Linked DNA regions of Notamacropus eugenii. The protein of the gene in region 1 purifies or fractionates together with the protein of each later gene. This does not show direct contact. Links are inferred from orthologs where the notes say so. Each region holds a gene or a part of one and is shown in the gene's direction. Other genes may lie near its edges. The genes, in order: ABI1, EPS8L1, WASF1 and NHSL3.

What was found.
Region 2: the proteins of ABI1 (region 1) and EPS8L1 purify together in Homo sapiens (co-immunoprecipitation; 4 studies listed by BioGRID and IntAct, with this or other methods). This does not show direct contact. The link is inferred for Notamacropus eugenii from reciprocal best matches to the Homo sapiens genes ABI1 and EPS8L1.
Region 3: the proteins of ABI1 (region 1) and WASF1 purify together in Homo sapiens (affinity purification with mass spectrometry; 6 studies listed by BioGRID and IntAct, with this or other methods). This does not show direct contact. The link is inferred for Notamacropus eugenii from reciprocal best matches to the Homo sapiens genes ABI1 and WASF1.
Region 4: the proteins of ABI1 (region 1) and NHSL3 purify together in Homo sapiens (affinity purification with mass spectrometry; 3 studies listed by BioGRID and IntAct, with this or other methods). This does not show direct contact. The link is inferred for Notamacropus eugenii from reciprocal best matches to the Homo sapiens genes ABI1 and NHSL3.

Annotation. Positions count from the first base shown.
Region 1 is NC_092874.1:67,587,220-67,595,170, reverse strand, and holds the start of ABI1 (abl interactor 1), read left to right. Parts: upstream 1-4,946; 5' UTR 4,947-5,162; coding exon 5,163-5,279; intron 5,280-6,036; exon of another isoform or gene 6,037-7,951. UniProt on the Homo sapiens protein: May act in negative regulation of cell growth and transformation by interacting with nonreceptor tyrosine kinases ABL1 and/or ABL2. May play a role in regulation of EGF-induced Erk pathway activation. Involved in cytoskeletal reorganization and EGFR signaling.
Region 2 is NC_092876.1:17,749,422-17,757,050, forward strand, and holds the start of EPS8L1 (epidermal growth factor receptor kinase substrate 8-like protein 1), read left to right. Parts: upstream 1-4,623; 5' UTR 4,624-4,761; exon of another isoform or gene 4,762-5,128; 5' UTR 5,129-5,158; coding exon 5,159-5,178; exon of another isoform or gene 5,179-5,369; coding exon 5,370-5,410; exon of another isoform or gene 5,411-5,929; coding exon 5,930-5,988; exon of another isoform or gene 5,989-6,065; coding exon 6,066-6,227; exon of another isoform or gene 6,228-6,486; coding exon 6,487-6,636; exon of another isoform or gene 6,637-6,719; intron 6,720-7,137; coding exon 7,138-7,220; intron 7,221-7,303; coding exon 7,304-7,452; intron 7,453-7,629. Other genes in the region: RDH13 (retinol dehydrogenase 13), read left to right, coding at 1-81, 304-548. UniProt on the Homo sapiens protein: Stimulates guanine exchange activity of SOS1. May play a role in membrane ruffling and remodeling of the actin cytoskeleton.
Region 3 is NC_092873.1:190,083,062-190,090,332, reverse strand, and holds the start of WASF1 (actin-binding protein WASF1), read left to right. Parts: upstream 1-4,269; 5' UTR 4,270-4,884; intron 4,885-7,271. Other genes in the region: CDC40 (pre-mRNA-processing factor 17), read right to left, coding at 3,631-3,819.
Region 4 is NC_092876.1:77,118,179-77,125,070, reverse strand, and holds the start of NHSL3 (NHS-like protein 3), read left to right. Parts: upstream 1-3,877; 5' UTR 3,878-3,925; coding exon 3,926-4,016; intron 4,017-4,961; coding exon 4,962-5,210; intron 5,211-6,892. UniProt on the Homo sapiens protein: Able to directly activate the TNF-NFkappaB signaling pathway.

The DNA of each region.
Region 1 (7,951 bases):
ATCCTTTAAATTTTCTCTTCTTCAGGCTAAACAACCCCTGCCTTGGATATGTGCCTACTATGTGCCAGACACTGTGTTAGTGGCTGGGGATACAAATTCCGTGAATTAAACAGGGTAAGAAAATGAGATGTATTGCATTTTAGAAACTGCCTGCTTTCAATGAGTCCAAGTTGCTTCCTGACACAAAAGGTCCACTGTTTTATCATCAGTATTCTCCTGGTAATGCTATAAGGCTGCAAATTATGAAGCATCAGGATTGCAAAATAATCAAAATTGCAGATAACTCAAAGGGAAGTGGAGAAACTATGGATAGTGTAAGAAGCCTGAAACATATATGACCAATGACAGTTATATGCAAAAAATGTAAAAGATTATATTAAGTTCTCAAATGATATAAACAGTTCCCAAAAGAACTGCAAACCATTAACAATATGAAAGAGTGCTCCAAATCAGTAATAATAAGAGAAATGTAAATTTTTTAAAAACTGAGGTTTCATTTTACACCCAGCACACTGATAAAAGAAACTAAAAAAAGGGGGGGAATTGGAAATAGCCAGTACTGGAGGGTTTGTGGAAAGACAAGAATACTAATACGCCATTGGTTGAGTTGTAATTGGTCCAACCATTCTGGAAAGCAATTTGGGATTGGGCCAGAGACAGAGACAGAGAAAAAGAGAGAGAGAGAGACAGACAGACAGACAGACAGAAGGACAGAGAGAGACAGAGAAAGAGACAGAGAGACAGAGGGAGAATAAAGTTTCCATAACTTTTTGCCCTAGAGATCGCACTGATAGGTATATTTTCCAAGGAGATCAAGTTAATAAATCAATAAACGTGAGGTCCAATATACACAAAAATATTTCTAGCATTGCTCTTTATAGCAGTAAATAACTGGAAACATAGAGGATGCTCATTGATTGGGGAATGACTAACCAAACTGTGGAACATCAACATTATGGAATATTACAGGTACCATAAGAAATGATGAATATGACAAACCCTGGGAGACTTATTGAGGCAGAGTGAAGTCAGCAGTACCAGGAAAACAATGCACAGGATGACGACATAATTGTAAAGGACAGTACCCTCTGCTCCCCCTCCCCCTCCCTCTTCACCCAGAAATGGAATGCTGCATCAGTATAATGCCTATGCTTGGGAATGAAGAGATGTTATGCCAAGATATTATGCCTTCCTTCCTTCTTTGTAGTTTTGCCAAACTGCTTCCCCCCTTTTTTCCTCATCTTTGTTATGAGGGATGGTTATGAGGGATGGGGCAGCTAGCTGGCAAAGTGCATAAAGAGCTGGGCCTGGACTCAGAAAGATTCATCTTCCTGAGTTCAAGTTTGGTCTCAGACATTTACTGGTTGTGTGATACTGGGCAAGTAACTTAACCCTGTTTGCCTCCATTTTCTCATCTGTAGAATGAGCTCGAAAAGGAAATGACAAAGAACTATAGTATCTTTGCCAAGAAAATTCCAAATTGGGTCATGAAGAGTCAGAAACTACTAACTAGAAAGCTACTAACAAGGAAAGGTTTTTCAGTGGTGTAGGAAGGAGGGATATTTGAGAAATGATGGTGATATAAAAACCAAAGATATCAAAGCAAATTAAAAAAAAAAGACATTGTGAAGCATACATACGATTAGAAAAGGAAGTGTGCCAGTCACACAGCAAGTGCAAGGGATGACTTCACAAGGAGTCCCATTTCATTTTTAAGGCAGGTCATACTTAGACAGTTCTGATATCTGTCAGAAAATTAGACTTGTTAAAACAGCTCCTGTGTTCTACAGGTAGGCCCAAAAGATTAAAATTACTAGAAAAGGCATTCAGTACTTTGGGTAGATTCTGAATACATTCACTGAAAGACATGAACAATAATTGAGGGCCATCTCCAGTCATTCTGATCCAAATCTTACAACTGGACCCAGAGGAGAATGTGACTCAGGAGGAGAAAGGCTGGTGACTTTGCACAGTCCTTCCTCACTTAAATCTAATTTACCTGCAAGTCATGGCATCATCTTCCTGATGTCATGTTCATCTCCAAGAATGAAGGACAAACCTGAATAATAATCACATTGGACAAGAAGATGCGGATGACCTGGGATCTGTATCCATGGAGAAAATATCCACAGAAATGAGATAACAGAGCCTTTGAAGTACCTAAGGGGGTGTTCAGAGAAAAGAAGGGTGACAGTCCTGCTGTATTCTTCCGTAGTAAGGCCACATTTAGAGAACTGGATTCAATTATGCCTGGAGGAACATGACTAAGAGCTGAAAACCATGCCAGATAAGAAATAGTGGAAGGAACTGTGAATTTTTAGCTTGTTGAAGAGAATACATACATATACATGCATAAGGATATATGTATACAGAATACATTACAGGGCTATTAAATGGAAGGCAAAATCTGCAACAGTTATAAGGGTGGAACTAGGCCAGATGGTTGAAATTATAAGAGAAGCAGATTTTAGCACAATAGGAGTAAGAAGTTCCTAGCAATTAGAAACGGAATAGGGTTCCTTGTAAAGTAGTGAGCTCCCTCGCACTGTAAATAATAATAACGAATAATTATAGCTAACATTTATATGCTACTTTCTGTATGCCACATGCCCCACAAATGTTTAAGCAGAGGACTGATGGACTTTATCAAAAAGTGTTCAAGAGATATTGGAATATGATCCTCTGTCAGGAATGCCAAGAAAGGGACTCTTGAATTGAGTAAAAGGCTAGACTAGAGAACTGCTAACGTCTCTTCCAGTTCTAAAGATTCTATGATATTATGCTTTACTAATAACATGTATGTGCTATTGCAGAGTCTCAGGTGCTTACTGGCTAAGTGACCCTGGACTAGTCATTTAACTTCTGTCTGCCTCTGTTTCCTCATTTATAAGAGGGGGCTAATAAGAGCACCTACCTCTTGAGTTTATCGTGAGGACGAAATGAGATAAAAATGTTAAGTGCTCTTCATCCCTTTAAGTGCTATAACAAGGCTAGTTATTTATTATTATTGCCATATGTTTTAAAGATTCTGGCATATAGTTAGCTCAGTTTGTTAGAATATGGTTCTACAATTATGAGTTTTACAGCATATAAGCTTTTAAATTTGAAATATAGAAAAACTATGCTCCACAGCTTCAGGCTTTAAACTCCTCCCCCTTTCCCCCAGGAGGGACTATTAATAAAAAATTCATTCAAAGTGTATCTCTTAAAGTAGAATCAGTAAAGGCCTGATGATTATCTACCTTACTATTTTAGTTCTGATTCTGATTTGAAATCTTCTATTCTGTTGCAATATAAGTCATATTAAAAATTATTTTGTTGGCTGCTGATTTGGAGTTTGGAAAATAATGTCACCATAATTACAGATTGCATACTGTAGTACATCATATTTTTTACATATTGCAAGTGTAGGTAGCATTGAACAGTGGAAGGAGTGCATTAAGAATCTGAAAACTGGGTTCTATTTTTGTTTTTGCCTTTTAATGTGCTGACTTGGATAAATCACTTAGCTTCTAATTGACTGACTCATTTCTCCGAGTCTCAGTTTCTTCATTTCGAAAATAGGGATTATAAAGCCTGTTATGCATACTTTAGAGAGCTGCTATGCAGATTAAAAGAGATATAAGTGAAAATGGTAAAGCCCTGTAGACAAACGCAAAATTTTTCTTAATTGCTGTTGTAAAAAAAATTATGTTGTTGAAATTCAACATTATATTTAAATACTTTTTTTTTTTTGTTGCTATACAGTTCTATTCAGGCAACTCTCAGAAGATGTCAACTAGCACTGACAGAAGGAGTTTCTTCACAAGGGCTATACTAGTGAAATCGGGGCAGCTAGGTGGTGCAGTGGATAGAGCACCAGTGCAGGAGTCAGGAGGACCTGAGTTCAAATGGCACCTCAGACACTTGACACTTACTAGCCGTGTGACCTTGGGCAAGTCACTTAAGCTCTCTCTGCTGCCTCACCCAACAGGAATAATGCCCCTCAGGCTTGTCATAAGGATAAAAAAATGGTATTTTTTACCATTTACCAAAAATGGTATTTTTTGCCAGCTTTCAAGCTAGCTATCACTAATACCAGTTAAAAATGAGAAGATTTCTCTCAAACGCAGGGAGCAGTGCGACCCTTGCGACAAAGGGGAATGGAGAAGGCTCCCCCGGGAGAAGCCTGAATAGTTTAGGGTACCGCCCCCCCCACCCCGCGTGGAGCTCAGGAGGTGCAGGCCAATTAGCCACTTCCCCGATTCGAGCGACGTCGCGCGGGCACGGGTGGGTGCCTAACGGAGGCTTGTGGACTTGGCCATCCCCGGCATTCCGGGGGCCGGAATTAAACGGGAGTTCCGACTAGTCTCAGATGAGTTTGATGCCATTGCATTTGGGGCAGCCAGCACGTGGCCCGCGCCCCGATCCAGGACGGAGGAAGGGACCCGTGCCGGCTGAGGGAGGGAGGAGGGGGTGTGCATTTATGAAGCGCCCACTGCGTGCCAGGCACGGGGGGATGTCCGGAGGCAACGTGCGGAAGGGGAGGCGGGCGCGGCCGGTGTGGGAGGCCTGGGGGGCAGGGCGGGCCACCTTTCACCGAGGCCACAGGAAGGGCACGGTTAAGGTCAAGGCACACCCATCCCCGTCTCCCGGCTCGGATTTTTCCAGTAGCTGACAAACACCTGGTGGTTACTAGTAAGCCAGGCTCTCTCCCTCTCAGGTGCCACCTGCTGGCAGGCAGGAGGGCAGACCTCTCGGCTGGCTCGGCACATAATGCCACCATGCTACTTCCACACTTCCCTTCCCTCTCTCCCGCCGGTAGCTCGCGCGCTTGCGCAGTTGCCATCCCGGGAAAGTCCCCCGGGGTGGGGTGGTGGGGAGAGAAGACTACAACTCCCAGAGGGCAATGCAAAAGGGGAAAACCCAATCTCTCTGTTCAGAAGCTGCGGGGGTTGCGGGGGGAAGGGGAGCTGAAAGCTCGCGCATCGCGAGAACGAGACCGCAGCGGGTGGGGGTGAGGAGGAGGAAGAGGAGGAGGTGATGTCCCACAATACCAGGCGGGAGGGCGGGTAGGCGGCTTGTATCCGGGCTCAGAGGCTTGGACTCCCGGACTTCACCGCGCCGCTGCCGCCGCTCGCTGTCTCTTGGACGTGAGAGGAAGCGATGCGGAGGAGTGGAAAATGGCAGAGCTGCAGATGCTGCTAGAGGAAGAGATCCCGTCCGGCAAGAGGGCGCTGATCGAGAGTTACCAGAACCTGACCCGGGTGGCGGACTACTGTGAGAACAACTACATACAGGTGAGGCGGGGGGAGGGGAGGGTCAGGAGCGGCCCCCGCCCGGGGCCGGGCCCCCGCCCCGGGGAGAGGCACCGCCGCCCGCCCGCCGCCCCCGGCCGGGGCTCCGCCACAGGAAGTGGGCTGGGGTGGGAAGAGAAGGGGGAGAGCGAGAAAATGGGCGAGCGCCCGGAGGGGACCCGCTGCCGCCGCCTCGCCCTGCGCCCGCCCGCCGGCCGGGCTGCCCCGCTGACACCCCTGGCGCGCCCGGGCTCCCGCTGCGGCCGCTGGGGCCGCGGCGACCACCGCCACCCGCGCCCGATGAGCCTCGGCCGGAGGGAGCCGGCTACGGAGCGGGGAAACTGAGGCAGCGCGGCCAAGAGCCGGGCGGGGGGCGGGCGGGGAGCGTCTGTGTGTGTGTGATTGAGTATATATGTGTATGTGCTTGTATGTGTGTGTGTTATTGTGTGTTTGTGGTTGTGGGTATATATGTGTATGTGCTTGTGTGTGTGTGATTGTAAGTATATACGTGTGTGCTTGTAAGTGTGTGATTGTATGTATCTGAGTGATTTGGAGTGTTTGGGTGTATGATTGTGTGTATGTATATGTGAGCGCGACTCCATGTATGTGTGACCATGGGTGAGATTATGTATGTGCACTCATGTTTGTGTGACTGTTACGTGTGTGCTTGTAGGTATATGTGTGTTCTGGAGTGTGTGTGAGTGTGACTGTCGGGGAGAGAGGGTGGGGTAAGCGCGGGGGGAGGGAGGGGGGTGGATTATGTCAGCTAGCCCCAGAGGGTGTGCCTTGTATTCTATTTTATTTATTTGTCCTGAGTCACCTCGCTGGGGAGAAGGGCCCTTTGGGGGAGGGCTCTGGAGAGGAAGAAAGTGAATGGACCCCCTGACCCCCGGGCTTGGCCGCGGACTCGCGGGTTTCCAGACCGGTCCCCCCACCCCCCATCCACAGTTTCACTTCCGCTCTTGGGCTTTGGCTTCTCGTGCGGGAGGGTGATTAGAGCGATCGGGTAGAATTATTCGTCTTGAATTATTTTTAACTACTGGAGAGCTGCCTTGAGTGACCGCCCTTCTCCCTTATCCGTCAAAAATTTAAAAAAAGTTCTTAAAACTCCCGCATTTATCTATAACTTAGAACCTCTTCTTTCTGTTGGGTTCCCAGTTTTCTGACCACAGTTTTCTTTTACTTCTAATTGAGATAGATGGTTAGGATGATTAAAAATTGTTTCCAAGGCAGAAAACTACACACACATAAACATATTTGCATTCAAATGTATGTATGTGGAAATATACACAAATATATCTATCTACCCACATACCGATATTCCTACATATATTCATACGTATACCACACTTGCAGGGTGCCCCAAAAGTCAGAACTGTACTAAGACATTTGGTATAGCCTTTCTAATGATGTAAAAGTCGTGTAATATAAAATCATGAAACCTTGAGAATGTCTAGAGAATTTTTATTTCCTGAATTGAGTTTAGATGGAAATGCCTTTCTCACAACTCAGCTGTAAATGTTTAGGGTGTGGAAATAATGGACAAACTGTAATGGGCACTTAATATTGGATAGTCATGGCAGATAAGGGCTTTTGAAAGTTCTGGTTACTTCAATAATAAGGAGGCATAGAGACAATTTTTGGAAATAGCTCTTTTTTTGTAGCTATCTTGCCAATGCTTGCATTTCCTCCACTTTATTTCTCCTTAAAAGTAAAGAAAATGAATGGTTGCTTTTGTGAATATTTAGAATCTTTCTTAATTTTCATGTTCACTTCAACTACCTGCTAAGCATTGTGCTAATACCATAACTGTAGAAAAAAATGATTGACTCTTATTCTTATCCACTGATAATATAGATTTTTAAAAAAGTTAGTTTTGCAGACCAAGAAATAATTTTGTAGTTCACCAAAATGAAAGGCACATACTGAACTGAAGTTCCAAAGTCAAGCTTTGAAAATTCAGGTGAAAATTGGAAGGATCTTACAAGTCAAAACGTAAAATACCTTATCGGAATCTTCTAAAAGCCTACTTTCAACGGCTGTTGATAGATCCTTCAAAACAGGGAGGTTCCATTTGATTTTATATGTTGGGAAATACAACAGGTACTTGGTGTGGTAACATGTTTTAACCTGTCCAATTTTTTTCTTTGTCAGTGTAGTTGTTTTTTGTTTTTCTATTGCAAAACTTGGAAGCGGTTTAAACTCTACCAGGAATCTCTTCTATTAACATAAATTGCCTCATGTTACTTACTCTCCCTAGTAAAACCAGAATGCTAAGAATCCTGTTAGTGACTCTCAAAACTTTTTTCATTTTATCAGTTGAATACACAGACACACACACACACACACACACACACACACACACACACATTTTACCCTCAAACTAAAAAAGATAGGAAAATATTTTTGAAATAATGACAGGTACATATAACAATGATTGTCAGAATATATAGTCCTTTACCTTTCAAGCTTTGCTTGTGCCAGGTGCCTTGCCCTCCAAAGTAGGTAGAAAGTGAATGTGGTATTGGTGGAAGGTATCACCACTGCTGTTCTTGTCATTGCTATGGCTGCTTGAGATTCTTATTCATGTTCTTTCATGCATTTATCCTAAAGGTTGGAGAAGACTTTTTTTAAGCCTTTTTTATGACATTTCTGTGACCCATGGTACTTTCTGG
Region 2 (7,629 bases), on another chromosome or scaffold:
CCCTGCACCCCGGGGTAGCCAGCACTGAGCTGGGCAGACACACAGGCTTGCACAAGTCCGTCTTTTCCAGCACAGTCCTTGGTAAGTCCCTCTTCCTCAGCAGTTTGGAGGAGGCACCGGAACTCTCCCAGACCTGACTGGGGAAGCCCATCTGGATCATCAGCTTGCTTAGCCCCTTATGGGGGGTGGGGCTTAATCAAGTGTCTTCCCCTATCAGAGCTTCAGTTTCCCCACCTACCAGACTAGGCACATCATTCGATGCCTCTCTGACTCTGTATCTATCCCTCTGTGTCCTGACCCCAGGCCCCTTCTTCTGGTTGCTGATAAAGACGCCCAAGTTGGCAGCCCAACCTAGTGTCTACCTGGCTGTGGCTCCGGAGCTGAGTGGGGTCTCGGGCAAGTATTTTAATGCCTTCCATGAGCGGGACCCAGCTCCCCAGGCCCAGGATGAGGAGGCTGCTCAGAAGCTTTGGGCGCACAGCACTCAGCTCGTGGGGCTGGATGAGGCTGAGACTCTGAAGGCAGGATCATCTATGAAAATCACTTAACACGTGGAGCTCATGACTCCCCTCAGGACACCTGGCCTGTTCCACACCTCTCAGGGAGTCCCCTGAGATTCCTCCTGCCTCTGACACTCTGCAGGCCCAGGTTTGGCTGGGCCCAGACTACCCTGTCCCCTTCCTCATCTGAACAGCAGGAATTGGATCAGCTGTGCTCTCCAAAGGCTCAACCCCTCAGGCAATCAGTCTAAAGGTGAAGGCCAGGGACCCCTCATCAGAATCATGAGGGCTTGACACACAAAGGAATCATCCTACCAGAGTACAGATAGCCATACATTGCTTAGACAAGTTCACAAATCCTGACTTAGGTGCCCCCAAGCCTTCTGAGTTTCTGTTCTCATTTAATGTCGCTTAGAAGAGGAGACCTCTGTACCCCCTCCAGCTTGGACCCTATGGGCTGACGGGGCCAGGGGAGCCCCTGCGTGAAGGATTTCTAATTCATCATGGAAGGAAATGCTTGATTTCAGTTAAGAGTTAGTGAAAATAAATATCCAGGTTTTTCCCCCCAAGATCAATGACTCCCTGAAATCCATCTGTGGACCTCCAGATTAAGGCCCCTTGGTCTAGACTTTGAAAAAGCCTTGGACTAGGAAGATGGGAAACCAAAGCATGCAGTGGAAGCCTGGAGAAATGCACCCCTCTGGCCAGTGGTCATGTTTGTTCCCCAGACATAAGGCAGAGGCCAGGTGAGGGGGGGTTGGCTGTTTATTTAAGGATGGATTGAGAGGGGATGACCCTGGAAGTTAGGCAGCCACCATTGGCCTAAACGAAACTCAGCCCATTAGGTCATTAGACTCAGCTCCTCAGTCCTGGAGGTGGGCACCGGGAGGCCAGGACACTTCCACCATCTTGCCTGTTGGTCCATGCAGGGCCTGTTGGCCAGCTTGGGGATCTGCCGGGATTTCCTCCTGGCCCAGCAGTCTATAGCACATTCAGCCCACTCTCCTAGGCATTTCCTCCCTCAAATATGCCTGAATCAACAGTGCTGTGGCCCAGCCCCTCCCCACCACATGCCCCAACCCTCCATGTGCAGTGACTTGTCGCCGAGGTCAGATGGCACCTTTGGAGGCATCTTGGGCGATGAGTTTCCAGAGTTGGCCTTTCTCTCCTGTGTGGGCAAGCAGGGTGCCTTGGGGAGAGGGCTGGGGATCTGGATTGCCCCCTCCCACTTCCACTTGTCTTCCCTTCTCTGGGCCTTGGGGTCCTTGTCTGTCAAATGAAAGGAGCTTACATCCTCCAGAAAGCAGCCAGTCAGGCCCTCTCTGGCCCATAAATAAGATCCTTCCCCTAGCCAGCCCCTCCCACTGGACTTCTGCCCCCTCCCCCAGCCAGCCCTCTTTGCCCAGGCTCTTTCAGCTTCAGCCCAAACCCCCCCAACCCCCAAACAGCTCTCATCTGTAGGAGGCCCTCCCTTGGCCCATGTTCTGACAGTCGCAGGGACACCCCACTTATCAGATGGGCAGATGGAACAGACCTGGGCAGGATGACAGGCAGACATGCTTGCTATAAATCAGGAGCCAAAAGGATCTCCACACATTGAAACCATGACCTGGATCCCCTGAGCTCAGGGATCCCAAGTCTGGAGCTAGAAGACCTTGGGAAAGTCAGGTGGGCAGAGAAGAGGGGAAAGAAAACACCCTAAGCTGAGGCTTTAACCATGGCCAGAAGGGGAGTGCGGGAGAGGGATAGGTCAATGGCGGCTGTCTGAAAAAGATCTGTTGGGCACAATGGACCACAAGCCCACCAAGAGTTGATAGTACTATGAGGGCAAAGAATAGGACAGCTGTCTGGCCTGGTGTTCAGGGCACCTGCCCAGAGGGTCAGGCCCTGGGGCAGCCCAAGGCCCCCAGGTCCAACTTCATTTTACAAAATGGGAAATTGAGGTCCAGAGAGGAGAGGCTTAATGGCACATTTCTGGTTAGGACTTGGGAGACTCAGCTGGAAAGGCCCCTTCAGACACTGCCTCACATACCCTCACCTCATGGTGGGGGAAACTGAGGCTTATTGTGAGAACTCCAAGGAGGATGCCCTCCAAAGTACCCCTCTGGAGTCAGATGGAGTGGAACTGAGCATGCAAACCCTGGGTGTGGATCTTCACTGGCAATGACTTCCCTCTCTGGGCCCCTGTTTCCTTATTTGTAAAGTAAAGGCACTGGGCAAGATGCTGTGTGCCAGGCACTGGGGAGAGATGATAATGGCAGCACCTACTGTGTACCAGGCACTGGGGAGAGAAGATAACGGCAGCGCCTACTGTGTGCCAGGCACTGAGCTATTTTACAGTTTATCTCATTGGATCCTCATGGCAGCCCTGGGATGGGTTAGTATTCTCATTTTAGGAAGTGTCTAAGGCTGGATTTGAACTCAGGCCTTCCTGCCTCCAGACATGATCCACCAGCTGACTTAAGAAGACTGGGAGTGGGAGGATAGAGGGTGTGTGGGGGAGGGGGCCAGCAGGAGAGGAACTTGAGCCATATCCTCCACCTTGACTGCCTCAGTCCCCAGCCCCTGCCCTTCCGCCCTTTGTCCACGTACCGGCCAAACTGGCTGCCACCCTGGGCCTCCCCTCCCTGTGAACAAACAGGGCCAACTTTGGCATTCCCTGCTCACAGCCTCTCCCCAGCTGGCCAGGCCGGTTCCTCTTATCTCCACCCAGCTTCCAGCCTTCCCCTGCCCCCATTCCCGGGCTCAGGCTAACCAGGGGACCCAGGCTCCCACTGGGCTGGAGAAGGGAGGGGTCTCCAGCACCAAGCTCAGCCTGGGCTGCCCCTCCCTCCAAAGACCTTCCAGCTGAGGCAGCCCCTCCCACTTGGGGCAGCTGTCTTTGTTATGTGTGTGTGTGTGGAGGGGGGGGTCCTGCATCTGACACCTGCTCCAGCCTGGGCGCCTCTCAGACCCAGAGAAGCAAATGCATGTGCCGTGGGAGCTTGAGGGGGAGAGGGCCCCTGAGTCGAAGAACCGAGGTGGGGCAACCCCGCCAGAGGACCAGGAGCAACGAGGGAGCCACAGAGAGTGCTTGAGCAGTGGAGTTACCTGGTCAGAGCAGGGCTTTGGGCTTCAACAAAAGGAGAGAAACTGGGGAGTCTGGAGGGGGCGGAGCAAGCTGTAGACTCCCCGTGCTTAGCGCAGTGCCTGGCACGTAGTAGTGAGCACCTCATAAACACTTGCTTTACAGAGCCTTGAACACAAAATCTCTGCTTCTCACTTTGGCTTTGCATTATTTTCAGCCAACCTGGCCCACTAGCTGTTTCCCAAGTACATGCTATTGGCCACCTCTGGGCCTTTGCCTGGGCTGTGACCCCTACTTGGAATGCCATCCCTCCACACTTCTTCATCTTAGGCTCAGGTCACCTCCTACCCATCCCTGTGCCCCCTCCCCGGGGCACTCGACTGCTTGAACTCACCTAATATTCTGTTCCTTCATGAATATTGTCCCTTATGCTTTTCTGCCCTCCTGGAGGATGGCAGCCCCTTGAAGGTATGTGGGAACCCAGGTCAGGCCCACACATCGAAGGCCCCTACCCCATGTTGACTGAGTTCTTGAGCAGGGAGATTTACCCAAGGACCCACAGCATGGAAGGGGCAGACCTAGCAGTGTTCAAGTTTCTTGATTTGAGGGAGAAGCAACCTCAGAAGTACCTGCTCCTCTCTGAACCTCAGTTCCCCCTCTGTAAAATAATCCTGACTCCCATTTCCTCAGCACTTGAAGGCTCACAAACTAATCTTCTCACCCAGCCCTGTGAGGGGTGGGGTTCATCAGAAGGAGGGAGCAGGTGAGATTTAATGATCTCCAAGCATCCTCCAGTCGAAGCCCCGGAGTCGGAGGTGGTATAGGCGGTATTAGCGGCTCAGAGATCTGGTCTCTCTCCCAGACCTAGGTTTTTCCGTCTTAGGTGTACCTGGGCGTGTAAGGAGGGAGGAGAGCAAGGGAGGAGGAGGAAGCAGGGACTGAGGGAGGGAGGGAGAGAGGGCTCAGTTTCGGTCACACCCAAAGCCAACCACAGGCTCAGGGCCCCTGGAGTGCCCTCCCTTCCACTGTTCCCGGGCACCTGAACCACTTGGTCTTTTCCTTCCAACGACCCAGGCATCCTGATCCCCTGGTCTCCACCTCCCTTAAGGACCCTGGTCCCTGAACTTCAGCTAGCACTGGCTGAACATTTCAGCTCCGCCTCCCAGGACCACACCCCACCAAGTGAAGGCTTAGGTATGTGGGGGGAGGTGGGGCACCTGGGTTCTCTCTCCCTCTGGGACCAGGGCCTAAGCCTGCTGTGACCCGGGAGGCTCTGTCTCCCAAACATCTGCCAGGACAGGACATCGTCCGGGTAAGCCCCAAGACAGAGACCCCAGCATCCTGCTCCGTGGCCAACTCTTCAGGAAGCTGGCGTTCAGTCCCCAGACCCAGGCATTCCTCAGCTCCCACCCCCTGAAGGACCTCAGTGTCTTGGACCCCAGGTGCATAGACACCCAGGCATTTCAAAGCCCCAGGGTCGACCAAAGAGCTCCCAAATCCCAGATTCCTTGGGGCTACTTAGGTCCCCGTGTCTCCCACCTCAGGCCTCTCCTCTCCCCAGGCTGGAAGCCCCCACTTCTGAGTTGGCAGCATGATGACCAGCCCAGCAGGGTGAGTGTCTTCTAGAGCCCCGGTCTCCCCCAAGGCTGGGAGCCTCCTGACCCTCCATCCTCCCTTCTTCCTCTCCCCCCTCCATATCCCCTCCCTTCTTCCACTTCTGCCACTCAGCGTTGGGACTCTGGGCCAGGGGAAGAGGGGACCTGAGAGGTTTCACTCGGTGACCCTCTGACCCTCCTCCTCAGGCCCACTGCAGCCCCCAAGCCCAGTGCCAAGTCCATCTATGGTGAGTGAGGGACTGATGTCCCTGGGAGTGCTGGGAGAAGACCCCAACTGACAGCCCAGGTTGGGATGGAGGCTGGGCTAGGGATCTCAGGATTCTTGGGTCCCTGCTGGGTTGTGGGCCAGGGGCCCGGTGCTTGGCCTTGGCCAGTTAAAAAACTGTCCAGAACCTAGCCCACCCCCCAAACACACACACATACCAGGCCGAGGGGAGGGTTCCTGAAGGTAGTGAAGGAGATTGAATGGAAGGCCTGGGTTCAAATCTCAGCCCTGCCCCTTTGGAGGTGGATGGATACCCTCTCCTCTGTGGGCCTCAGTTTCCTTGTCTGTAAAATGGGGAGGGGGCAGAATAGACAGCCTCCATAGTCACTGCCTCAGCTGCAAGTCAGTGGTCCTAAGGTCCCTTCCAGGCCAAGGAGCCTCCTCATTGGCAGTGAAGGAAGGATTCTAAGAAGGGGAATTGGAGCTTAGTGGGAGGAGAGGTGAATTATCTTTTCCTCAGTTTCCCTCTTTCTGGCCCCAGAGCAAAGGAAGAAATACTCCACCGTGATCATGGCAGACGTATCCCAGTACGCAGTCAACGTGAGTCTCGTGGGTCTGAGGGACCGGAATGAGTCAAGAGTCAGTGTCTGGGCCTCACCTGCCTCCCTTTCCCCCAGCACCTGGTGACCTTCTGCTTGGGGGAAGAGGACGGGGTCCACACGGTGGAGGACGCTTCAAGGAAACTGTCTGCTATGGATGCCCAGGGCCGGATCTGGACCCAGGAGATGCTGCTACAAGTGTCCTCGGGAAACGTGAAGCTTCTGGACGTGGACTCCAAGGTCAGGAGAGGAAGGAGGGATTCAGTGTTGGTTCTGGGTCCCAATTCCACTGAGTCCACTCCACCCTGCCGCTCTCTGGCCCTGACTTTCTCCCCATAGAGAAGTTCATGGAGGATCTCAAAGCACTTTTGGTATCAGAGGGGACAGAAGTGGGGAGAAGAAATGCAATGAAACAGACTGGCACCCCCTAAGAGATGCCCCCTCCATGGGGGTCCTGGGTGGGTGGGCAGCCCTGCCTGTGTCCCCTTTCCCCCCACAGGAACAGCTGGAGTCTTACGCCCTGGACTCCATTCTCCGATGTGAGGCCGTGTTCCCCCCAGGCCAGACACAAGCCCTCCTCCTCCTGGTGTGTCAGGAGCCTGACCGGCCCCAGCCCGATGTCCACTACTTCCAGGGCCTCCGAGTTGGGGTAAGGAGGTGCTGGGCCCAGGCTCCCGCTGGCCCATATGATGCAGGAAAGGACTGCTCCCAGAGCTGCTGGACAATAAGAGGCTGGGGGGGGGGGGGGACCAGCAAGGAAGAGGAAGGGAAGGGGAGGCCATGAGGATGCTGGGGGGAGGTGCCCCAGAGGAGGGCCCCCTGACTGGCAGGAGCCCACAGGGTCTTGGTGGGAGTACTAGTAGAAGCTGAGGATGACCAACCCAAAGACGGACGGGACAGAGAAAGGCAGGAGGAGAAAGGGAGGCAGGCATGGAGCCGGGATAAAGTGAGGGAGCCAGTAAGGGAGACTGAGGGGAAAGAGGGGCAGAAAGGAGAGCCCAAACTAGGGCCCCAGCCTCCTCCCCCAGGCCCTCTCTATCCTCCAGTCTCTGGTGAGCTCCTTCATTGTGGCTTTAGAGAGGACAGGTCCTCTGAGGAAAGGACTCAGGGCAGGGGGAGTCACATCTCCCAAATTGTCTCCCCTTGGCAGGCAGAGCTGATCCGAGAGGACATTCATGGGGCCCTACAAGCCCAGCGATCAGGCAGTGGAGACCGGCGTGCAGCCGCCCTAAGGTGGATGGGGAGCAGGATATGGTGGGAGAGGAAAGTGAGTCTGAGCTGGAGGATCCAGCCCCTGTGTTCACCCTGCTCCTCAGGGCCACCCAGGAGGAGCTGAACCGCACCCCCAGCCCTGGGCCTGCAGACACCCCCTTCCGACGTCGGCCTTCAACTCGTGTGGTCATCGCTCCCCGGGAACACCTGCTGGGACCACTGGCCAAGGAAGCCATCCCCGAGGAGAAGGAAGGTGAAAGCCTGGGAAGGGGGGGCATTGAAGGGAAAGGGGAAGAAGCAGCCTTCCTTCCCTCACAGTGCCCCCATCCCGTGTGGGCCTCTTTCTTGGGGAGCCCCCAGTCAGAGACAGGAGACATGGCCCTGCCCACAGGAAACCAGTCTGACCAGGGAAACAGGAGCCACCCAGAGG
Region 3 (7,271 bases), on another chromosome or scaffold:
TTTTGCATTTCATAATGTTTTCTATCTCATTTAGTCAAAAAATTTTCCATTCTCCATAAATCTGATAAATACACTATTCCCTGCTCCACTAATTTGTTTATAGTATCCATCTTTATACCTAGATCATGTACCCATTTGGACTTTACTCTTGTGTATGGTGTCAGGCATTGGTCTATGCCCAGTTTCCACCATATTGTTATCCAGTTTTCCTAGCAATTTTTGTCAAACAGTGAGTTCTTATCCCAGAAGCTGAAGTCCTTGGATTTATCAAACAGTAGATTGCTATATTCATTGGCTACTGTGTCTTGAGTACCTAACCTATTGCACTGGTCTACTCCTCTGTTTCTTAGCCAGTACCAAGTGGTTTTGATAATTGTTGCTTTATAATACAATTTGAGATCTGGTAGGACTAGGCCACCTTCTCTAGGATTTCTTTTCATTAGTTCCCTTGATATTCTGGATCTTTTGTTCTTCTAGATGAATTCTGATATTATTTTTTATAGCTCTAGAAAATAATTATCTGACAGTTTGATTGGTATGGCTCTGAATAAGTAAATTAATTTAGGTAGAATTGTCATTTTATGACATTGGCTCGGCCTACCCACGAGCAACTGATGTTTTTCCACTTATTTAGATCTGCCTTTATTTGTGCAAAAAGTGTTTTGTAATTGTATTCATATAGTCCCTGGGTTTGTTTTGGCAGGTAGACTCCCAAACATTTTATAGTGTCTACCCTAGCTTTAAATGAGATTTCTCTTTCTATCTCTTGCTGTTGGGCTTTGTTAGTAACATATAGAAATGCAGAAGATTTATGTGGGTTTATTTTGTAACCTGCAACTCTGCCAAAGTTGTTTATTATTTCAAGTAGTTTTTTACTTGATTCTCTGGGATTCTCTAAGTATATCATCATATCATCTGCAAAGAGAGTTTCTTCTTTGCCTATTCTAATTCCTTCAATTTCTTTTTCTTTTCTTATTGCTACAGCTAATATTTCTAGTACCATGTTGAATAATAGTGGTGATAATGGACATCCTTGCTTCACCCCTGATCTTATTCCTAACCATACTTTTTAAAAGTAGTTTCTGAACACTACTACTTGCCAACTCTATACAGACATGACAGGGATTCTTAACCTGAGATCCATAGACAGACTTCAGGGGGTCCATGAACTTGAATGGGGAAAAAAAAATACACCTTTACTTCAATATAATTCGTTTCTTTTGTAATGCTACATGTTTTATGCATTTAAAAACATCATTCTGAGATTAACATTTGCTAATAGTAGTTTATTTAAACAGCAGTTTAAGGTGCACAAAGTGCTTTGTAAATACCATCTCATTTTATTCTCCCAACTACCATTTACAGATGAGGAAACTGAGAAAGGCTAAATGATTTGCACAGAGTCATAAAGATAAAGCTAGAATGATATTTGAGGTTTAGTTTATCCACTCTACCACCTAACTTAAACACACACACACACACACACACACACACACACACACACACACACACTCTTAAACCCTTGCTTCATGATGGAGAAAGAGAAGCAGTGTTTTATATAGTAAAAGGGGTATTAACTAGAAGCTGAGACCTAAATTATATATAGTTCCAGCATTTTCACCTACAAGCTATATAAACTCCCTGGGCCTCACTTTTGTTATCAATAAAACAAAAAATCATTTTAAATTCTAGAATTCTACGTCTAAAATAGGAACGTCTAACCTTTAGGAAATCCACCAAAGCCTGTGGAATCCTGCTTAGGATAATGTGCCTGGCACACGGCAGGCGCTTGATCAATGTTTAGTGACTGATTTTTAAATACATAAAATGAAATACCTATGATTACAAAGGAAACAGATTATGTTGAAACAGCTATCAAAATATTTTTTAAAATTATGCTCCGGGTTAATAACCTTTTTCTAAAATGTTATAAAATACATATTAATATACAATTAAGCTATTCTCTTTCCCATTTCCTTGTAAATGAAACAGAGAATTCAGATGTGTTACACAAGGCAAAACAGCATAATGTGCCTCAAGTTATGAACACCTGACTTGTAAACATGATGTACATATATCTGGCTGAGCTATATACTCCCACGAAGTGAGGAAGCTTGGGCTGGGACCTATTGTCCCATATTGATATGTTAGAAAATCAATGAGAGCCAGAGTGATTTGGGTTTAAGGTATGATCCACAAAAAAGAATCGAGCCCGTAAATCCCAAGGTATCTTGCTAGGTTTCAGAGATTAAAGTTTATATTCTTTTGGGCAGAGGACTCACAGGTAAGGGTATGATTTCCTACGTGGACAAAGGGAGAAGAGGGAGGCAGAGAAGGGAGGGAGAAAGGGAGAGAGAAAGAGGGCAAAAGAGAGAAAGAGAGGAAGGGAGGAAAAAAAGGGAGCGGCAGCTGCCAAATGGAACTGGCCAACTGGGTCTTCAGTGGAGCAGTTCCTACTACACACAGGTTGTTGTTTGTCCTTTGTTCTCCAAGAGGACCATGACATCAGGAAGGAGATGTCATGACTTGCAAGTGAATCGGATTTAGGTGAGGCAGGTGCAAAGTCACCAGTCTCACTCTTTCCTCCAGAACCATCTGGGTCCAGTGGCCAGATATAGATCAACGCGACTGCAGAAGGCCCTGATGCAGTGGGAGACCTTGGCCTTTTTAAGCTAAGGTCTTTCCCAGGTCTCAGGTTTATCTGAGGCAAAGCCCATTCAGTGATTAAGGCTAGGTGAAAAACGAGGCAAAGAAGGACCTCTTTTACTTAGTCAAATAAAAAAGAAAAAAAAATTCAACCTGGGAGGGAAAGACCCTAAGGATTTCTGGACAAAACAGAAACAACTGCTATTTTTACACTCACTCACAGCCATCAGAATCCAAACAAGGACCCAGTGAGGTCCCATTGTTGGCCAACCAGTGAGAGGCAGAGGTTTAAGGCCTGCTCCATAAAGGAAATCTAGCCCGTCAACCCCAAGGTATCTTGCCAGGTTTCAAGGGAGGGCGGGAGGGGGGGGGAGTCGGGGAGGAAGAAGAGAGATAGGTGAAGGAGGGAAAGGGCGGGTAAGGAGGAAGAGAGGGGGAGGAAAAAGAGGTAGGAAGATGGAAAAGGAGAACAGACTTCACCAAAAAAACTACGTAAAAGGGGGCTGGGGCCAGGACACGAAGGGCTTTAAAGAGCGAAGTTCGCCTTTGCTCCTAGAGACAGGTGAGACCTGAGCTTTAGAAAAACGCCTTGGGGGGGCAGGGCTGGAGCAGATCGCCAGAGCCTCGCTGGAAGACTGCTACCAAGTCTCCGGGCATCCATGACCAGCAGCCCCGCTCTCGACAGTCGGAGCAGCAGGCAGACTGTCAATCAGCACACGCAGCTCAACCAACCAGCCCAGAAAAAGCGCTTCCTCCGACCTAGGCCCGGGGCTAAGTGCCGGGCGCAGCGGCCAAGGCGAAGAGCGCGATCCCTGCCCTCAGCGAGCTCCCACTCGAAAAGGAAGGCGGCCCTCGCCCTACCGAGTTCCCCGGAGCCGCCCCTCCCACCCTCCGCCCCAGCGGACCCCGGGCCGAGCCGACAATTTCCGCCCCCCTCCCCGACCCCTCACCCCAACTAGCCCCTCAGAGGCGAGAACTGCTCACCTTAACCGCCACCTCCGGCGCAGCGTCCACGGTCCCCACCAGAGAGAGATTGGCCGAAGGCGTCTTCGTCAGATGGATGAGGGAGTCGGCGGCGGGCAGGGAACAGCGGCCGGTCTCGTTGTCCGAGTCGGACTCGGACCCCGAGCCCGAGCCGTAGGAAGCTGCCAGGGCAGCGATAGCAGCCGACATGACTGCAGCGCCGACTCTCCCCGGGTAGCTCAGGCCTTGGCGGAAGAAAGAGCCGCGATCGGAAAGGTCCTAAAAACCTTTGGTCGCCCTGGAACCTCCTCAAATCCCGAATTTGAACTAGTTCCAGGAGTTTTATATCAGTGATTATTTAACCTTTGATCTATTTATAAAAGACGAGAGTCTTGAATTTAATCACTTAATGGGCAAAAGGGGAAGGGGTAAGGGAAACCTCAGTTTTTTTGATACCTTCCAGGACCTTACCGGTTTAATTAAAAGACTACGAGTTCCGACAAGCGAACTAAATACCGATTCCCCACGCGGCGTTTAATGAACAAAGCACCATGGGAGATGTAGTCTTTCTGGAGGAATTTTTGACACCGCCCCTCAGTGACTGGTTTCATTCAATTGGCTGTTGCCTTACCTTATTCCCTAGCCCATCCTCAGTTCTTTCTGGCCCCCTCCCCCAAACCGAGGATCGGGTTATACCACGCAGTCTCTGGAAAAGGGGGTGGGGAAGCACGGTTTTCATGCCATTTGGGGTGTGTTGGGGGCTGGGTTTCCAGCATCCTCAAAGCATACACCTGGGTACTGGAGCCCGAGGAGGAAATGGAGGGTCGTTTCACTCGAGCCCCCACCGGGGGATAACCGGTCTAGTGGGAGGTTAGGGAAAGAAACTTGGAGTGGGGAAGGAGAGGGAGCGCTGTTAGCCCCCCTATTTCACGCTCCCCTTTCTCTCTCCCATTTGTGGAGCTCCGCGCGCTCTAGTTAGGGGGCGGGGTGGGGGGAGGGTGGAGGCTCGCAGTGTTGTTCGCTCGTGCTTTTTGCACCGGGCTAGTCCTGAAAGAGCCGGAGCTAGGGCTGTTGCAGGTTAAGTGAAGGGAGGGGGTGGGCCGGGGCACTTGGAACAGGGGTCGCTTGGAACAGGAATCCAAGGGGCTACCCCCCACCCCCACCCCGAGCCCCTTCCCAGGGCCTGCGGAGGAATCGGCTGCAGAAGGAGTGGGAAGCAGCATCACCCGGCATGAAGGAGGTGTAAGACAAGAGCCTCCCCCTCCCCGTTTTACGGTGAGTGAGTGTGTGTTTTTGTGTTGCCTATCCTTCTACGCCCCCGGAAAAACGGGATGGCTCCGTGTTGTGGCGCCCTCCCCCCACCCGGCTGCCTATCCCTGGTAGCTCTCCCTCATTCGTTCGGGTTCCTCTCCCCCACGCCGCCCACCCCTGCGCAGCTGGCTGCTGGAACGAGCTGGCTTAGGCGCCTGTGCCTGTCTGGTGGCTGGTGGCTGGAAGCGCCCAGCGGTGGCGGCTGGAGGGAGGTGGGGAGGGCGCGGGTCCCACCTGAGGTGTCCGGGCCGCTGCTTCTGCTCGGACCGTGCTCTCCGGCTGTCACACCTAGCCTTTGGCGAAGGCTGCCGTTTAGGGGTCGTGCGTTAACCCTCGTTCCTCGTTTCACTGTGAGTCTCCTTAAAAAGCGAGCATATGTGTGCCTGTGTGTGCGTGTGCCTGTGTGTGTGTGTACGTACGTGTACGCGCCGGTTTGTGTCCAGCTGCTTCGCTCGTTGCTTTCATCCCCTTCCTTTGAGGAGGAGGAGGAGAAGCGGCGGCTGGGGCTGTAGTGTAGCCCTAGCTGTTGCTAACTGTAGTCTCCGTCACCTCGTATCGGTAAATGGGGTTCTGGCGAAGGCTTAAGAGGGGGAGAAGCTCCCTTTCTTGGGAAAACTCTCTTACTGCTCTACCTAGGCAAATCATTCAGCTACAAAGAATTAAGTGCTCCTGTCTATATCCTGTTCTGTATCCTTCTCCCTGCTCGGTACAGTATGCCCCCTCTCTCCAGGAATCTCACCACTCTTGCGCTTGCTGCTTTACTCACGGAGCAGGGCTGGAAAACGATGCCGATCCAAACCAATTCGACTTGTCCTTTAACCAACTCACGTATTCCTTCCTATTAACTCATTGTATTTGATGCGATCGAGCTTAATTCAGTGGTTTCCTAAGATCTGCGTTGTGAGTTGTGTTTTAATGCTCCCTTTGGTGAGATGGTATGAGTTTTCATTGGCGCTGATAATTGCTTCTTTAAAACATCAAATTGTCTTAAACGTACTTGTATATTACGTTTCTAATGGTTCATAGCATGGTGTTTAACAAGAGCGATTCTTTAACGAGAATGCAGTCTTTGAATTAAGACACGAATGTATTTTTGTGGGAGTGATTTCCAACGTAGTTTGATTAAAACACCTACAATGTACATTTCTCAAATTGCTATAAAGGACAATTTGGTATTTTCCATTGTCAGCACTTCTGCTTGATTTTTAGTAATTGAATGTTCATAGTACCTAATAATTTCAGCCTTCCTTGGAATTCTATCTTTTGAAAGAAAGGGGGGATTAAGAAAGGATTGTAATGCTGTATTGAATATTTCATACTAATTAAAATTTTATTTTGGTTCTAACCGTTCTCTTTCATTAGATAGAATTTTCTTATTTTTTTCTATCTGTTCACAGTTAAAGATGCCCTTAAAAATATGAACATTTAAAGAATATCCATCCTTAAAAGATGAAATACTTTTTCAAAGTCCAAGAAACATATTTCAGTCATTATCATTGATGATGTCCTAATCATTGTGATAATCAATTCTACTTCTGACTTTTAAAAAAAAGGCACCAAAACTAAGTACTTTGTCTTTGATTTGCAGCCTGTCTTGAGCTTTTTTGTGTGCCTAGAGATTAAGTTTATTATTAACACTTTTGATTAAACTGAGTTGAGTATAGATAGGCATGGTCAATTGATGCTGGAAATACATGCAGTAACTGTTTTATGATAGAGGGAGGATATGCAATAGCAAGATAAATAGTTGTATTATCTGAGGGAATGTGGTGTTAGGGAGCTTGCTTTAGGAGATGGTATTATGAGTTTTATGTCCGGGAGATTTATATGGACTTCTCTGTGCTTCAATTTCCTGTGCAAAATGGGGTTAATACCTGTTTCACAAGGATGTTATAGGGCATAAATATGGTATTGTTATTTTTAAAGCATTTTAAAGATTTTAGGTTGAATAAGAATGAAGAGTGCTTAAATAGCATAGAGAATGAAAGAATTCAATTAAACTTTAATTTTCAGAATGACTAATTATTCTGTACTTTGTGTTGGAAAGCTAAAACTCTAATGAGAAAAAATATTTTTCATGTAATTAATAAGTTGATTATTCTAGTGTTGAACATATATATTTTAAAATCCTTTAAATGTAAGAGGATGCTTAGAGACTGCTGGATAAAGTATGCATAGAAGCCTTATTTCAGTTCAATGAAGAACCTACAGAAAATATCAAGACCTTTCCCCTGCCTTTCAGAAACTAGCAGGTGAGGGAGAACCTATAAAGAGGACCTCTCAGTTAAAAGGTGGACTAGTTAACTTTGTTTATTATTGAAGCTTAGGAATTAGTCATTGTGTTCAGGGGC
Region 4 (6,892 bases), on another chromosome or scaffold:
GTGGGGGAAGGGAAACAGGGAGGATATTGTGTAAGGAACACAGAGAAATATGTTTGCTCAGGAAGGGCTTTTGAAGCTCTTTGCCCATGCCCATTCAACCATTTAAGCCCTTGCTGTGTGCCAGACCCTTTAGCATTATGGGGGAAACTAAGAAGACAAAGGCTTAACTCTTGTCCTCAAGGAGCACTTAGTCTAGCTGGGGACGGGAGATCTCAGAGACACAGATGAACTGAATATAAATTAGCACTTGAAAAAGACAAGAGAAGAGTGTAAAGTGCTATGAGATCAGAACTGGGTGAGGTGGCTCCCCAAAAGAGCTGGAAGGAATCCTGAGCCAGATGTGTATACATTTGTGTTTGTTCATGAGTGGGCGCTACATGTTTGTGGAGGGCTTGGGGGATGAGGTGAGAAGGTTAGTCCAGCTGGAGAGATCCTGGTGGGCAGTTGTTGCCCTGAAATGAAGTAAGGTTAAAATGAAATCACAGGTCTGAAAAATGAGGAAGGGGGTGATTATTGTTCACATAAGGGGAGATGTGAAGTATAATGGAAAGATTCCTTAGGATCATGTAGGCCTGTATTCTTTTTTGGGTTTTGACACCTAATTAGCTATGTGGCCTTGGGGCCAATTCACCACCTATCTGTGCCTCATTTTGTCTAACTGAAAATGAAGGGGTTGGACCAGATCTTTCCTAAAGATTTCTTCTAGCTCTAACATTCTATAAGTCTGCTCTAGAACATTGGGGATTAGGATTTGAAACTGGGATCTGGGATCTGAAGGAAGGGCTCTGGAACATGGGGGAGAAGACAATTATGGTTAGTAGTGGGAGGTAACTCCAGAATGTGGGGGGCGGGTATTGGATAACCTGCCCTAGAATAGGTACAGTAGGGGAAGGGGAGGAGATGATGGGGAGAGAACAATCACTGTTCTGGAAGTTGCGGGGATGTATGGGAAAAGTGCCAGACTTGGACATTTCTAGTTTCTCTGTTACTAGAAAAATCTCATCAAGAAAATGAGCATTTATGCCGTACTTATATGGCAGACACTGTGTTAAGGTACAAATAAAAGCAAAAAGAGACAGCTCCTGCCTTCAAGGAGATTACTTTCTAAAGGGAGAAGACTTCACACCCAAAGAGGTGAATTCATTATCCTTTCCAGAGAAGATGCTGCAGTTAGGGAGGAGTAGAACAGGGGCCAGGGACTGGGGCTGTACTTGTCTGATGGGGGTAAAGGATGGTGACAGACATGGAACCAGCCGATCATGGCAGACAAATGAAGGTTGGAGTCTGTGGCTTTGGGCCCCCCCATTCTTCCCTGTTCCTTGGGCCTGGAATAATGGCAACCACTGGCTAAACCAGTGCCTTATGGGAGTGGGGGTGAGAGGGGTTACCCAGGCTGTATCAGACTTCGTGTACATACCTGGGCCTAGAGAAGAGAGCCTCCCTAGAGGGCCCCCCATCCCAGCACAAAGCCATCTCAGCTGCTTTGATCACATGCTGAGTAAACCCCATGCGAAAGAGCATTGTACCCCTTGGGGGTGGGGTGTGGAGGTTGGAAATGCTGCCATCACCCGCATAGTATCTTGGCTTCAGTGGATGCCCAAGCTCTCTGATCACAGAAGGATGAGAATCCTAGTTTATCCCTGGACAAATTGTCTCACTCTGTGAAGACACAGAGGGATCCCACTTTATAGAACAGCTCCTGAAAAGTTTTTGAATCCCGACCTCAGAGGTCATCTAATCCAAAACCTCCCGGAATTCCCACCATCCCTTCCATAGTGTCCTCAGTCACCCAGTCTCTGCTCATGCTCATTCAGTTCAGTACAAGGATGAGAGTGCTGAGGACCTGGGTTCCAGTCTTCTGTCCTGTTCCTTGGGTGACCTTGGGCAAGGATTCAGCTTTCTTATCTATAAAATGTAGGCGTTGGGCTAGGTGAGCTCTAAGGTCTCTTCCGGTCAGCTCTGCATGCTGTAATGACTGATCCCTGTGGCAGCCTGTTCCACCCTGGTACAGTCCTTTGGTTTCCCCTTTTTTTGTGTGTTAGATTTATTTTTGTCAATGGAAAGACTGAAAAATGAGCTGTTTGTCAATCAGTGGATTTGTGCTGAGTGCCTCCTTTGTGCCCAGTCCCATCCTGGGGCTGGAGGAAGGGATCAAGCCTCTGCCCCTGTCAAGTTTTTCTCTTTAGGGAATTTCTTCAAGCTCACCCTGACACACCAACAGACACAGGAAAAGTGAAGGATGAGGATTGAAACTGGAGAGGAGAAAAGTGTCTATGTCATTGGAGTTTTCATATGGTGGGTTTGTCTCAAATGGGGTCAATGAGTATTTATTAATGAAGTGCCTTTTGCTGGGGATACAAAAGAGGCAGAAGATAGTTCCTGTCCTCAAGAACTTATACTCTAATGGAGTAAAGGTCTTTAGGCAACACTGTGGGCCTCCTTTTCCCTGGCGTTTTCTTATCTTCTAGGTTCCCACCCTGACTAGATGGTATTTAAGGTTAGGTGATTCTTTCCACAGGGATCTACAAGCATCTTAGACCAGTTGTCTTTTATTTTTTTTAATTGTAAAAATTTTTTATTTTTTAAATTAATTTTTAATCAATTAACAGTCCTTTTTTCTTGAGATAGATTGACGAGTATATTTTTCCTCTGAGCTGTTGACACTTTCTTCCTCCCCACTCCATTTCCTAGCTCTCTAGCTCCCTGTTCACATATGGAAACTGAGGCATTACTTCCTTCTAGGGCCTTCATTGAGGTGCCATAGGATCACAGGAATTTAGAACTGGAAAGAATCTTTGAGATCATTTAGCCCATCTGCCATTTTACAGATGGGGAAACTGAGGCCCATAGAGGGGAAGGAACTTGCCCAAAGTCAAGAGTAGTAATTATTAGAACCTTGGATTTCTGACTCCAGATCTATTGGGGAGTCAGGGGAGGGTGCTGAGAGAAGCTTTGAAGGTAGGTGAATCTGGAGACAGTCTGTGGGTAGAGAACCTGGCTCCTTGAAGTCAGTCAAATTAACATAGTAAATGGAAAGAATGTTAGTCTTAGTCAGAAGACCCATGGTTGAATCCCAGCTCTTTTCCATAACACCACTAGACTTTAGGCATGATAGTACTGCATCTTTCCAGGTCTCTCAGTATTTCTCTCTGTAAAATGTGGTCAGACTTGTTTGCTGATCATAGAAACAGAGAATGTTAGAGCTGATAAGAGGCCTTAGAGATTATATAACTTGACACTCTCACTTATATATGGGAAAACTGAGCCTGTACAGAGGAACTGACTTGCTCCAGTTATCAGGTAGTAATAATAAAACAAGTTTTAGTTTCCATTTTTGTATCACTTATGGCTTCTATGGTGCCTTCTTCATTAAAACCATGGTGCAGTGGAAGGAAGGCTGAGATTTAAAGTCAGAGGACTTGAGTTCAAATCCCAACTTGTTCCACTTACTACTTGTAAGGTGGCTTTCAGCACTAGATCTGACTCTGAATTCCTGTGAAGAAAGGAGTGCACGTTATCCCCATTTTGCAAATGAGAAAACCAAGGATCTGCATCCTGTCTATGTCTCATTTTCCCAACCCGGTAGGAGGGTGCTAATTCCTGGGCTCTGCCTGGCAGGGGCCGTCGGCCGCCTCCTCTTCCCAGGAGCCTCCAGGCTTGCCTAGCTTTGGGAGGGCCAGAGGTAGGCGTCCCAGTGGGGGCGGGGGAGAGCCCGCATACGGGAGCTCGCCCCGCCCCTCGCCTCCCCTCCGAGGCCCCGCCCCTCCCGGGCGTGCCCATTGGCTGCAGGGACGGTGGCGGCCGGAGCTGCCGGAGCGCGCGGGGGCCTGAGCGCGCGCCAGCCCCACGCCATGTAGCGCGCGCCCCCTCCCCCGCCCACTCCCATCCCTGTCCCCGCCCCCGCCCCCCAGGGACCCTGCGCGCCATGGGGAACTCCCACCATAAGAGGAAGCCCCCCAGCAGCCGGACCCGCAGCTTCTGGCATTTTGGGCGCCGCCGGGGGAGGCAGGGAACAGGTAGGCAGGGGCGGGGGCGCTGAGGGGAGGGGGATGGGAAGGGGCCGGGGCTGCCCCGCGCGGCCCGAGCCCGGGGGGATGGTGGGGGCCGCGCGTCCGGGGACTTGGGGTCCCCCACCCTACCCCCGGCTGTGTACACGGGGACCCAGCTGCATGCTCACACATGGAGCCTCCCGCATGCACACGGCTGCACGCAAAGGGCACATATGAACGCGCCTGTATGGTACATCCTCAGCACATAGCCTTTGAGAAAGTTAGCCAAACAAGGCAGTGATACATGCTTGCGCAGGAGTGTGCATATGGACACATAGTTACACAGTGTGCCTTAATGCTCCAGGAATATCCGTCCACACATGGCTACAGTTACAGAAACAGGACAGGGATACACGTTCCCATGCATGTGTGCACAACGACACATAGTTATAAATCACACTCAGCCACACCATGAGTTACACCTACAGGACCCAGGACGCACTTATTTTTATGTCTTGTGGAATTGGGTCTATTTCCAGCTGGGCACATAGTTGTGGAAGATTTGTATATATGTTCACATGTATGGGTACATAGTTACACATGGCGTATAGATGTATATATGTATATGCATGCTTGTACATGAATATGTATGAACGGACGTAGTTATTACACAGATGTCCACAGTCACTCCTGCTATGGTTATACAGCTGCCCACATAGATTTGCAGATGTGGGTGCAGACTCATATTTACCTAGGCATACAGTTCTCTTCAGCAAACGTTAATTACCCGCTGTGTGCAGAGCATGGGTTCACACTTACATGTACTCACAATTACACCTATCAGCACAGCTAATAGTCACACAGACTCACATTGTCATATACAGATGCCGTGTTGTATACAGACACAGCCTTTCACTGTTTTACACAGTAGCTGATATACACTCACATTTGTTCTTCTGTCCCACCCTGCAGACCCCAGAGGGCAGAAGGTTGACTGGAGGAAGGGAGAGACAAAAGGAGGGAGCTGGAGACAGAAACTGAAGGCTGGAGGCCCAGGGCTGGCTCCATCTGACCACATCAGCCATCTGACTGGTTCTCTGGGGCACCCTCCCCCCCACTGCCAAGGGTCTAGGCCCCTCCCTCATCTATCCCCCCCTTTTCAATTCAGTCACCCAGCTGGAACAGCCTGGGCCCCAGTCTGTGCTGGGATCTGCCTGAAAGGTTGTATTTCAGCCCCAGGGGTGGGGGAGGGTCCTCTGAGGCTGGGCAACAGGATTCCTGGCTTCCCCCTCCAGTTCCCTCAGTGCTGGGAGAACTGTAACATGAACTGGGATTGATATGTGTGTGTGTGTGTGTGTGTGTGTGTGGTGGGGGGGGAGAGGATATCAGAGAGATAGATAGGGGGAGGAGGTACAGCCTCACCCTCTGCTCACATCCCCTCCCACTGGGGAGCTGCCTGGTCAGGTGGAAATCTGGGCTATTTCCTGTGCAGAGAACCCTATGGGGAGAATTGTGGGTCAGGGAGCAGGGGAAACTGTTGCCCATTTCCCCATGTCCTTTGGATTCATAAACTATCTAAATTCAGACTCTCTGAAGTTGAAAGGCTCTTTGAAACTATCACATCCCTAACCCCTTCTGCTTACAGATATGGAAACTGAGGCCTACAACTGGAAAGGAACTTACACAAGGTTGTTTGTTCCAGTCTGGGTACAGGATATGTAGTTTTCTGTACTTTCCTTGGAGAGAGAATAGGTACCTCCTAGAGGTTTGTGATCTGATTTGTGATCCTGGGCAAGTCCCTTTTCCTTTCTGAGCCTCAGTTTTGGCATCTGTAAAATGAAGAGGGCATTGAACTAGATGGTTTCTAAGGTAAAAACTAACATTTCCCCGAGGGAAAGCCTTTATCCAGGGAAGCCTGGGGGAAGAGGATCCTGGGATTCTGGTCACTTCTGCCCAACATCCCTACTATATCCTATTCACCCTCCTAATTGAGAAATCAAGTCAATTCCCTATCCTTCTCTTTTCCTCTCCTTCTGCATTCAGGCAGGGAAGGGAAATACAGCTTGGAGAAATGACTCTCCTTCCTTGTGTTTGTTTATAATCTTACTAACCTGGATGGGATAAGTGTTTAGAGATCTTAGTGCTGATGAACTTTTGTGTTTTCCCTGGAGGTGGCTGGAGGGTATCAGAGAAGAAAACATAGTCTTTATCTTCAAGTTACTGACAGGTTAGTTGAAGACACAAGACAGATAGGGTTGGAGAGATCACATTTCTAGACAACATATTAAGATGATATGAATAAGTGGACCTTCTTTCTACTCTCCAGACCTTAGCTAGACATGTGTGAGAAGGAATTCAGAAACGTTAATGAAGGAAGGCTTCATAGCAATGAATCTGAAGTGGGCATTGAGGGAATTGTAGGTCTTCATTTCTCATAGAACAGCATGCATGTACCACTGCAAAGAGGGTGGATTTGGAGCAAGATGTTGGAAAGCTGCTTTCAGTGCTCACCACCAGACTTACCCCTGGCAATTTTTTCTTACTTGGAACATCAATTTCCTCATCTGCTAAGAAAGGGGTTTGGAATACATGGTCCCCAAAGTCCTTTGAGCTCTAAGTTCCATTATCCTTTGGGAAAACCAGGAGAGGGCATTCTAGGTAAGAGGAGAAGCCTAAATAAAGGCACAGAAGTGGGAAGGAGCCTAGTATGATGCGGGGAGGGGAGGACAAAGAAATAAACCCGGTTGGAGCTGAGGATGCTTTTGAAGGAGGAGGGAATTAAGTGGGGTCTTAAGGGATGACCAAAGATGCAGGTACCATCACAAGATTTAGAGTTAGAAGAAGGTCATTCAGTTCATCTCCAAGAGGAAATCACATCCAACTTCATCAGCCTCTGTTTCCTT